2 linked regions of the Schizosaccharomyces pombe genome follow. The protein of the gene in region 1 interacts with the protein of each later gene in a biochemical or structural test. Each region holds a gene or a part of one and is shown on either strand. Other genes may lie near its edges.

What was found.
Region 2: the proteins of gpa2 (region 1) and stm1 form a complex in vitro, tested with the Schizosaccharomyces pombe proteins (one study listed by BioGRID).

The regions. Positions count from the first base shown.
Region 1 is NC_003424.3:2,515,495-2,521,224, reverse strand, and holds gpa2 (heterotrimeric G protein alpha-2 subunit Gpa2), read left to right. Parts: upstream 1-1,985; 5' UTR 1,986-2,909; coding exon 2,910-3,030; intron 3,031-3,193; exon of another isoform or gene 3,194-3,435; coding exon 3,436-4,379; 3' UTR 4,380-5,172; downstream 5,173-5,730. Other genes in the region: SPOM_SPAC23H3.12C (hydrogen/potassium transport protein), read left to right, coding at 5,352-5,730. UniProt on the Schizosaccharomyces pombe protein: Alpha subunit of the heterotrimeric guanine nucleotide-binding protein (G protein) involved in glucose-induced cAMP signaling.
Region 2 is NC_003424.3:4,481,176-4,485,028, reverse strand, and holds stm1 (G-protein-coupled receptor Stm1), read left to right. Parts: upstream 1-1,829; 5' UTR 1,830-2,253; coding exon 2,254-3,069; 3' UTR 3,070-3,098; coding exon of another isoform or gene 3,099-3,136; 3' UTR 3,137-3,237; downstream 3,238-3,853. Other genes in the region: endodeoxyribonuclease Pnu1, read left to right, coding at 1-194; TIM22 inner membrane protein import complex subunit Tim13, read right to left, coding at 563-664, 708-776, 835-951; SPOM_SPAC17C9.11C (zf-C2H2 type zinc finger protein/UBA domain protein), read right to left, coding at 3,099-3,136, 3,295-3,853. UniProt on the Schizosaccharomyces pombe protein: Amino acid transporter that moves basic amino acids across the vacuolar membrane. Appears to function as an arginine/histidine antiporter.

The sequences.
Region 1 (5,730 bases):
TTATACGGTTACGCGGTTATGGACGAGAGTAAGCATTGGGTTATACGCTTACAACAAAAAATAAGAAAGCTAAAACTCTTGAAAAGAAATAAAAGCCACAGCGAAAGAACAGTAGCTGGAAAAACAGTTTCTTTCATCGTTTTCACAATAGATTAGAAAATCAGAAAGTCGGTTGTTCATGATCCACTTTTTTGCACACTGTAAATATAGATATTGGACATATTCTCAACCAACTGGCAAAAGAAAAAAATTAGGAAAAAACAAGATTACTCTATATTTTTTCCGTTGTCTTCTAATATTGACTTAGCTAATGATTGATTTATTCAATTATTTTCTTATAATAATTTTTTGAATTAAATTAACATAGTTTTATTTTAAACTGGGAAGCGCATCTTGCTCATAATTCAAATTATTGCCCTAAAACCAACATGAAACAGATCCGGCAAACTAGTTTCCACAATATATCGGGATATATCAAGATATGCAAGATATATAAGATACACATATATAAGAGATATAAGATACATATTCAATAATTGTCAAGGATACCTATAATCAAGCAAAAATTAAACTTACGCAAATAAGAATTTCATCTTTATAAAAAAAAAAAAACCATCAAAAAACAAAACAATATAAAAACCCTCCCACTACATGTGAATATCTTGGAAGACTTTTTTTTATAACTAGTACATGCTTTTATTAGTATGTAATGAATAAATGAACGAACAACAACGGATTGACTTCAGTACCACATAAACATTACGAAACCTAGCTAATTCTATCTCACCTGAAGATTATTTTATTTTAGCGGGGCAAATGCAGTCCTTCCCGAACCTCCAAGACTAAGTAACCAGCAAGTAACGGCATCAGGATATCTTACCATTCTTACCCATTAAATTTAAGGAACCGAATGAAATTAGGAACGATGAGCAGTTTAACAAAGTCCTCCTTATTTTTTTTGCGTTGAAATGTAGTTTGTAGTGTCAAGCTGCTTTGTGCTATTTATCGAGCAATGAGAAATAGGAGAGGAGTTATGGTAGCAGGGTATACTTAGTAATGTTTTCATGGACCAAGCGGGGGAGGGGCGAAAAGCATGTCTAGTTCGCTGTATTCAGTTTCAAGACCCCATTTCATGTTTAACATTTGTTCTAGATACGCAAAAATCCCTTTTTTCTAGATTGTTTGCAAGTCCCCATGTCTTCTTTTTTTTATACAGCTGAAAAATTTTCCGACTGTCAGGTAAAACTGGTCAGTTGCGAAAACATGCTTTGCTTCATCTTGGTACCCAATCGTCTATGGATTTTTTATATGTTTCTTTCTAGCTTTGTGATAGCTGCCCACGCTTTGCGATCAAGTTAGTTGCCTTATCCCTTGTGCACTTTACTTTCATATCTGAGTAAATAAGTCTCCGTAACTGGAATTGAACTTGGTAAAATTGGGGCTTGAAAATTTAAAATATTATGAAAGTGAACAAACTCAGATTGGGAAAACACTCATTAAACATTGCTTGGAAAGATTGCGCGTTTTTTGGAACACTTCCTTTGGTCATCTTTGCTATCCCGATTGCTTGCATCTTCAGCCATAAACAAGGGACGACTCATTGAGTTACTAGAGTAGTAATAGAGCAGTATAGTTTAGTAGTATAGAAATGCTGGACCAACCAGTTAATGACATATAAACATAAAACATAAAAAACTATTTTGATGAGCGGCGCTTCTCTATGCGATACTTACATAGAATGCAAAGCTCACACAGGTCTCAGCTTACTGCCTGCTCCCCTCGCCCAAGGTCATAATCGAAGAGTAAGACTTACACTCCAATCTTCTTTACTTGAATGATGCTTGTTTGGTGGTATGTGTTGGATCCTTTTCCAATGTTACATTTTCCGAACTGTCCTCTCTACCCCACTCGAAAAATTAAAATCGTAAATGGATGATGCATGACGTAGTGCCTCATAAATACAAATTATACCAGAGTTGCCGTCTGTCTTTTTCGAAATAGTATAGACGAAATCACCGCTCAGGTACCAATCTAACCATAGTTGTTAGCTACTTAAGCTGTTTGAAGCATCAAAACGCTTGCCCTTTTGCTGCTGCTTGTTGGATTTAGGGTAGTGTGAATTGAAAGTAAGGATTTAATTGTACACTCGGTTAGTTGGACAGTAGTAAGAATTGAGATATTTTGCCTCTAATTCTTCTTTCTTCCTTGTACAATTCTTAATTTTTTTCTCGTTCATCGAAAGACGACGAGAAATCAATTTTCACGAGTTTCTCATTTGTCGCTGCATCTCTTCAACTGATTTCAGCCTTTTCTTCTTGCCTTAATCAACCTTGGTATTCACTCGTACTCACTGTGTCAATTAGCTAGCCGGCTAGCTTCCGACCTGCGATCCTTCCTCATTCTCCTCCACCCCCTGCTTTTCGAGGCATCTGGTGAAACTCAAAAAAAAGTTGAAATTGCGATTTAAAGGTCGCCCATAAAGGGGGTTAATCAAACTTTGCGCGTATAGTTTAGTGACTGACTAATCAATATTTTGATTATTGATTCCTATTCTGTAATATCCCCTTTTGACACCCGCACCCTTGTTCCTACTTAATCATACTTGCTACCTCAACTTTTTTTTTAATACTTTTATTTATTTGCGTTTCACTTTTCTTTCTAACTTGCTCTCTTTCCATTTTATTATTTAATCTTTGCTTTAATTGGGAAAAGAACTGGATTGAAGGCTTTTCTTGGAAAGTCCTCGCCTCTCTGCTGCTACACCTTACCTACCTGCGTTTAACCTTCTTACTTTGTTTCATATTTATTTCTCCCATCTTATCCCAAAAACCCGCTAGCTGTCGGATTGAGAAGTTTGGTGTCCTACTACATCCCCGTATTTATATTCTGCAGTAGTGGATTAAAAAAAAATGACGATTTTTAATGGATTATCTGAAAGCGGTGAATCAAAAAAATTGAACAGCAAAATCGAAAAGCAGATTGAAAATGCCTCGAAGAAGGATAAAAAGATTTACAAAGTGTTGCTTTTAGGTACGTAAACTACTCAATGTTGTTGTTGTTGTTCAATAGTTATATATGCTTGGGCAGTCGAGCAAAAAAGCAGAAAAGATTGAGAAAAAAAATAAAGAAACGAAATGAGTGAAACTATTTACGAAACAGAGAAACTGTTTAAGAAATGACAGAAAATGGTTTGTCTAATTGCGTCTACGTTCTCTACTCTTGGTTACCCTTTCCCTTCAATACTCAGTCAGTGAAGGTGACTTTGATAACGTTCTTCTAGTTAACCACTTTTCGTCGTCGTTGCATGTTGTAATCAGTTGCTCTACACTCTTACCGTTTCTCTCCATTGCATAGCACAGATTTTTTGTTTGATTCCTATAGCAAATTTTCCTTCCTTTGTTTCTTACAATCGTCAGTCTAACCATTGTTTTCTAGGTGCCTCCGATAGTGGAAAAAGTACCATCAGTAAGCAAATCAAAATTCTCAACAAAAATGGGTTTAGTCAAGAAGAGATTATGACATTTATTCCGGTGATCCGACGAAACCTGTTGGAATCTGCTAAAACCCTTGTTAAAATTATCGTTCAAAAAGGTATCAACTTGGACCCTTTAGGAACCCACAATTGCGAGATAATCGAAAAATTTAATCCAACTCCTGGTGAGCTTATTAATGCTAATATTGGCCAAGCTATTACTAGTCTTTGGTCAGCCAATAGTGTTAGATCCTGTACATATGGAAATGATTCCGTACTCATTGACTCTGCCCCTTACTTTTTTTCGCGAGCCGATGAAATTTGCAGTCGGCATTATGTCCCTACAATAGATGACATTCTCCGGTCTAGAAATAGTACTCTGGGTATTTCGGAAATATCGTTCACATTGGATCATTTGCAAATTCGAATGTTCGACGTTGGTGGTCAAAGAACCGAACGAAGGAAATGGATTTATTGTTTTGAAAATGTGAATTCAATCATATTTTGTGTTTCCTTAAATGATTATGATAAAAAGCTTTATGAAAGAGCCGCCCCAGAACGCAATCGTTTGGTTGAAAGTATTTCTTTATTCGACTCTATTATAAACAGTCAGTGGTTTATGCATTCTTCTATCATTCTGTTTTTGAACAAATTTGATTTGTTTCGGAAGAAACTGGAACATGTTCCGTTCCAGGATTACTTCCCCCAATATGAAGGTAAAAATTCTGTTAAAAGTATTACCCGGTATATTCTTTGGTTATTTGTGAACCCTTCTATAAATCGGGCTAAGCATAATATATATCCTCACATTACCACCGCTGTAGACACATCTAACATAAAGGTTGTCTTTTCTGCCGTTAAGGAAACAATTCTACAACACAGTCTGAAAGAAGCGGGAATGTTTTAATTTTAATTTGAAGATAAAATTTACCCTACCATTATTCATATGTTAACAGAAGACCTCTTACTGTCTGCATATGTCTAGAGAGTTCTGAAGCCTCCTTGTAAGAATCGCTTCTTTTACATTCGTTTATTTTTTTTTTTTAATATTGTCCGGAGTTTATTACACATGTTCTTTAAAAATATTTTTCCAATATATACATTGGCTGCTGGAATCTGAAATCACCGATTTGTCTGTAAGGAAAAGGATCGATCTCCTTTTCAGTTGTCTCAGAACGTTCACAGATTGCTATTAAATAATCTCTTTAAGATGACCAAGTTATACAGTTCTAGTTGATATAAATATTTTGTCATTTTTGCGAATATCAATTTGCATTTAATTTTTTACTTTAAACGATGCTGCTGGCGAATGCTTTTAAAGTTATTGAATACTTTCTGTTGAACATAGTCTTAAGATTGAGAAAGTAGATCTCCAGTTTTGATTCGAACATCTATCTCTGCTTTCAGAACTATTGCTATCACTTAATGCTGCTATTTATGAGGGTCGTAGAAAATCCGTTTGAGTACTAAGAGACTTTGAGTGGATACATGATTTAATCGCTTTTGTTTTAGTATTTAGTTTTTAATTGTTAGACTACTTGTATAGACTATTTCACTGAATCATCAAAATTGTTGTCTCTCTTTGTTGGCACCAGAGACTGATACTTTTTACCGACTTTCAGTATCTTTTCTTTAATATATTAATTTACTAATCAAAAAAGCTATTGAACACGTGTATTTCTGCCATGTATAATAAAAAGCCGCACTGTTCTGTATACGTATCAATTTGATTAAATTAGATAGTAATACTACTACATAGATATTCGTTACCCACTTTTAGCTTCTACTTTAGTATATCCACCCATCTTTGTGTTACTGCAGGTTTATTTATTTCAATATTTATTTTGTAAAAACAATTAAGTACATTCGTTAACTAATTATGAGAATTATTGCACTTCCTTTGCCAAATCAAAGGGTATTCTTACATTGTTATCCTTCTGAATACCTTGCCAAAAAAGTTACTATTCACGACAAAATTATAAACAGAATTTACAAGTATTGGGACTCCTGGAGTGCTTCAAAAAGCTATACCAAACAAAAGGTTGTGTCTTTGGGAAACCGAATTTTGCATGCAACTCCTTATGAAGAAAATTTTTTAAGGGCGATTGCTCCTGTTAAGAAGCTAAATGATACAGAATTACACCAAACTTTGTATATTGAACATCCTCCAAATTTGGAATCAAGTACTATTTTAGCTGAGTTGAATCGGTCCAAACAATTACAAAAGACCCATACAAATTACCTTATTGGTAATATTA
Region 2 (3,853 bases), 2.0 Mb from region 1:
CTATTGCTGACAACTTTCCGTTAAAGAACTTTGCAGTTCCCGTTGAGGTTGTGGAACGAGCAAGCGGATTAGAGATCTTATCAAACGTACCCAAGGGTAACCGAAAACAACTTTGCAGTGAAGTGGTGTGTCAGTTAAATGTTAAGGAGTTTGTTGAATCAGTTAAACAAAAACAAAAGAATCAAGGTAAATGATAAGAATAAGGAAATTTAATGAATCTCTAGTTTTTCTAGTTTTTCCGGTGATCGTTCTTTATTATGAAAATATTTAAACTGTTATTTACACAATAATACTTAAATGCTACATGTCAAAGAAACAATTATAAGTATTTTACCCAGTAGTATAACAACACTTGTAAGTGTTTAGCATGATTAGGAAAAGAACATGAAACGAATTTTAATTGCTGAAAGTTTATAATTATTAGAGAGAAAGCGCGTGAGCTACGTTGAAAAGAAAAATTTCTACGTTGCATATTAAGCTTTGCCGTCACTTCACAACTATACAACAAGACACATATCATAGGAGAGTAAAACAAAATGATAGAAAAAAAAATCATTATTATTCAGTTGAGATTTTTCTGCTCTCGTTGCATACGAGAGATATAGGTTCGAGAAACAATGTTCCAAGCATCCATATAGCGTTCCATACATTTGGAAACGCAAGACTTTTGTCTAGTTAGAATAAAAGTATTTTAATAGTTCTCATACCTTTTCATTGGGATCGAATGTGGAACCAGGCTCCGGGATACATTTATCAAAACAGTTCTCATTGATTTTCTAGATAAACCGATTAGTTAAAACATTCAATAAAACATAAAAAATGAATGGAGCATACACTTATCAATTCGCCAGCTTGAGCAACAGCAAGTTCCTGACGAATTTGTTTCATGAAAATGGATTTTTTGTCTTCAGAAGAAGGTGCATTTCCACTATTTCCACCGAAAATGCCCATTTTGTTTAAGTATAACGTTAAAACTTATGAATGTGGATAATTTTTACTCCTTTACAAGGAAAATTAATGAGGAAATGGTACGTTCGTGGAAAGTACCAAACGGTGTACTTAGGGAGACTAATTCAGAAACCGGCCATCATCACCAATTAGACTTCGTTAATAGAAAATGGATTTTCTAATATGCTGACATATGCGATACAACCAGACAGCAATCTTTGTTTTGTTTTCTACTTGGTATAAAAAAAAAAGATTTAATAAAATATTTCTAAACTAATGGATAGATATACTATTCGGGTCCTTTTGGTGAGTTTAGAAATAAAAGTTTTTTCAGCGTTTTTTTATTATTATTATTTTTAATATTTTAATATACGAAATGAATCGTTCATGACTTTTCATTACCCTTGTTTAGAAAAAAAAATAAAAATCCCAATTTGTAAGAAATTTTTATAGAGTTTTATAGTCTCGAAATTAAATCATGGAATTAGCACATCTTTTACTGCAAATAATCTGAGAATCAAACAAGTCACGTAAACATTTCAATGTTTAATACTGCTAGCGATATTATGGTGTATTAAATTTTATAACAAAAACGAGTTAGCTTGACATTGATAAAATTAATGCGACTGTTATTTACATTGAGAATTATATTGTTAAGTGAAATAGGATTATTCGAAGGAAAATCTATTTCGCTTACTATTCCTTTATATTTCTTTAGAATGATACCTTTGGATTGACTATCAATTGTATCTGTAAATCCACGGACACTTTCTTAATTCTGCGAAACTGCATGGGCGGCAAATTTTTCTTATCTTGAAATCTCTATATAGCCTTGCCCGAGGTAAATAAATAACAGGACGGCTGGGAGGTTGATCTTATCCAGAGCCAAACTCACCACCAAATCTCTTCTGTTTCTTTACAGTGGGAGAAATATTGTTTACCATTGTTATTATTATTATTATAGATATTCCTTTTAGTGTTTATTTTTTAAAACAAAAAAAAATACTTGTAACGAATTTTCATTAAGTATCATCTCTTGGATCGCTAAAATAAATCAGCGAATATTATAGTGCTGAAGCATTACACGTTCGAGGAAGTTGACAAATTTTAATAATTGCTTATCATTCCTATTAAATTAATAGTTTGATTTCCCTTTCAGGTTGCTTCGCTTTTGTAGCCCTTTGTTTCCCGTTCTTTTTATTTATTGTCCTCCACACTCATATAAAAAACTTTGACCATAAAAAGCTTAGACAAGCTCTTCTCAAATTCATTTTAAAATTATCTGTTCGCAAGCATTTTTGTCCCATGTCTGTGATAGCTCCTTCTTTTGATATGGCTAACATACTCACGGAGTTGTCTTCATTTTTAGGAGCATTATCCCTGGGATGTTGGGTCGTTTTACTGATCCCTCAATTACTTGAAAATTATAAAAACCAGTCTGGTGAAAGTATCTCTGATTTATTTTTAATCATCTGGCTTATTGGCGATTTCTTCAATGTACTTGGTTCCATTTACGGAAATGTCTCTTCTACTGTATTGGTTCTCTCATTTTATTACATTGTCTCTGACAGTACCCTACTTATGCAAATTTACTACTATCGTTGGAAAGCTGCCCGTCGTATTGCCAGTCGTGAACACGAACCCTTACTCCAAAGTCGTTCATTAGAAGAAGGTCTTCATGCACCCATTGGTAAACAACAAATTTGGTGGGATCGCCTTTCTACCCGTCAACAATTTGGTGTAATGGGATGTGTGGTTATTGTCTCGACAATCGTTGGAAACTTAATTATTTCTAGTGCCTCTTCTGACAAGAGTGATGATGACTTGAATGCATGGCCGTTTACTGCCGGTTGTATCAGTTCTGTGTTATACTTCTGTGCTCGTATTCCTCAAATCATCAAGAATCACAAAGCAAAGTCTACCGAAGGATTATCCATTATCTTTTTTGTGTTGGCCTCTGTAGGAAACACTTCATACGCTTTCAGCATTCTCGTATTTCCCGCCTCCGATTACTTAAACTACACATATGCTAACCTGCCTTGGATACTTGGCGCGTTCAGCACCATCTTCCTTGATATATATATCTTCTACCAGTTTATCAAGTATCGTAATCATTATTAACACAGCATAATTATCAAAAGGTCATAACTTTACCATTGCGGAATAAGAACGGCTGAGGGAAACAAATCTATGCAAGCGTTAATAATATATTCCATGTCTATAGTTCAAAGTTTTCAGAGGAAACAAAGATATGTCGTTTAGATGCTAGTAGCAACACAATATTCTTTCAAAAACATGTATTCTAATGTCACACATGATGACAGTAAACACTAGTTTGATACTTACCAAGTTGGTTAACCGGTTTATCAAATACATCAGTGCCGTATGAGGCACGGGGAAAGGTAGTGGTAAACTTAGTTGGCGGTGACACGTTCATTTTCTCAGCGACCTGTTGTGCCAATTGGCGTAGCGTCTCCTCAGCTGCAATAGTTATATTACAAACTTGACCATCGTGTCGGATAGAAAATCTGCCTGATGTAGGAGGGGTGCGAGTACAAGTAGAAGACGAATTGGCATTTTTAGGCTGCTTGATGGGAGCAGCCGTTTCTTTTACAGAAGAATTCTTATTTTCCCGTTCTGCAGCTCGTCGTTTTTTATCGCGTTCAATTTCTGCGAGGATTTTCTTACGCTGCTCAGCATCTTCAGCCTTTTGTTGACGGATCTTTTGCAAGTCACGTAAGCGGGCTTGATCCTGCATCTTTCTCATAGCCTGTGCAGTTTCATCATTGGATTTTTGAAGGATTTTATAATTTGTCTTCTTCTCTTCCAGAGCCAAAATCCTTTCTTTTTCCTTTTTCTCCTTTGCTTTCTCTCTTAAAGCTTCAATAGCTTGTTTTAACTCTTC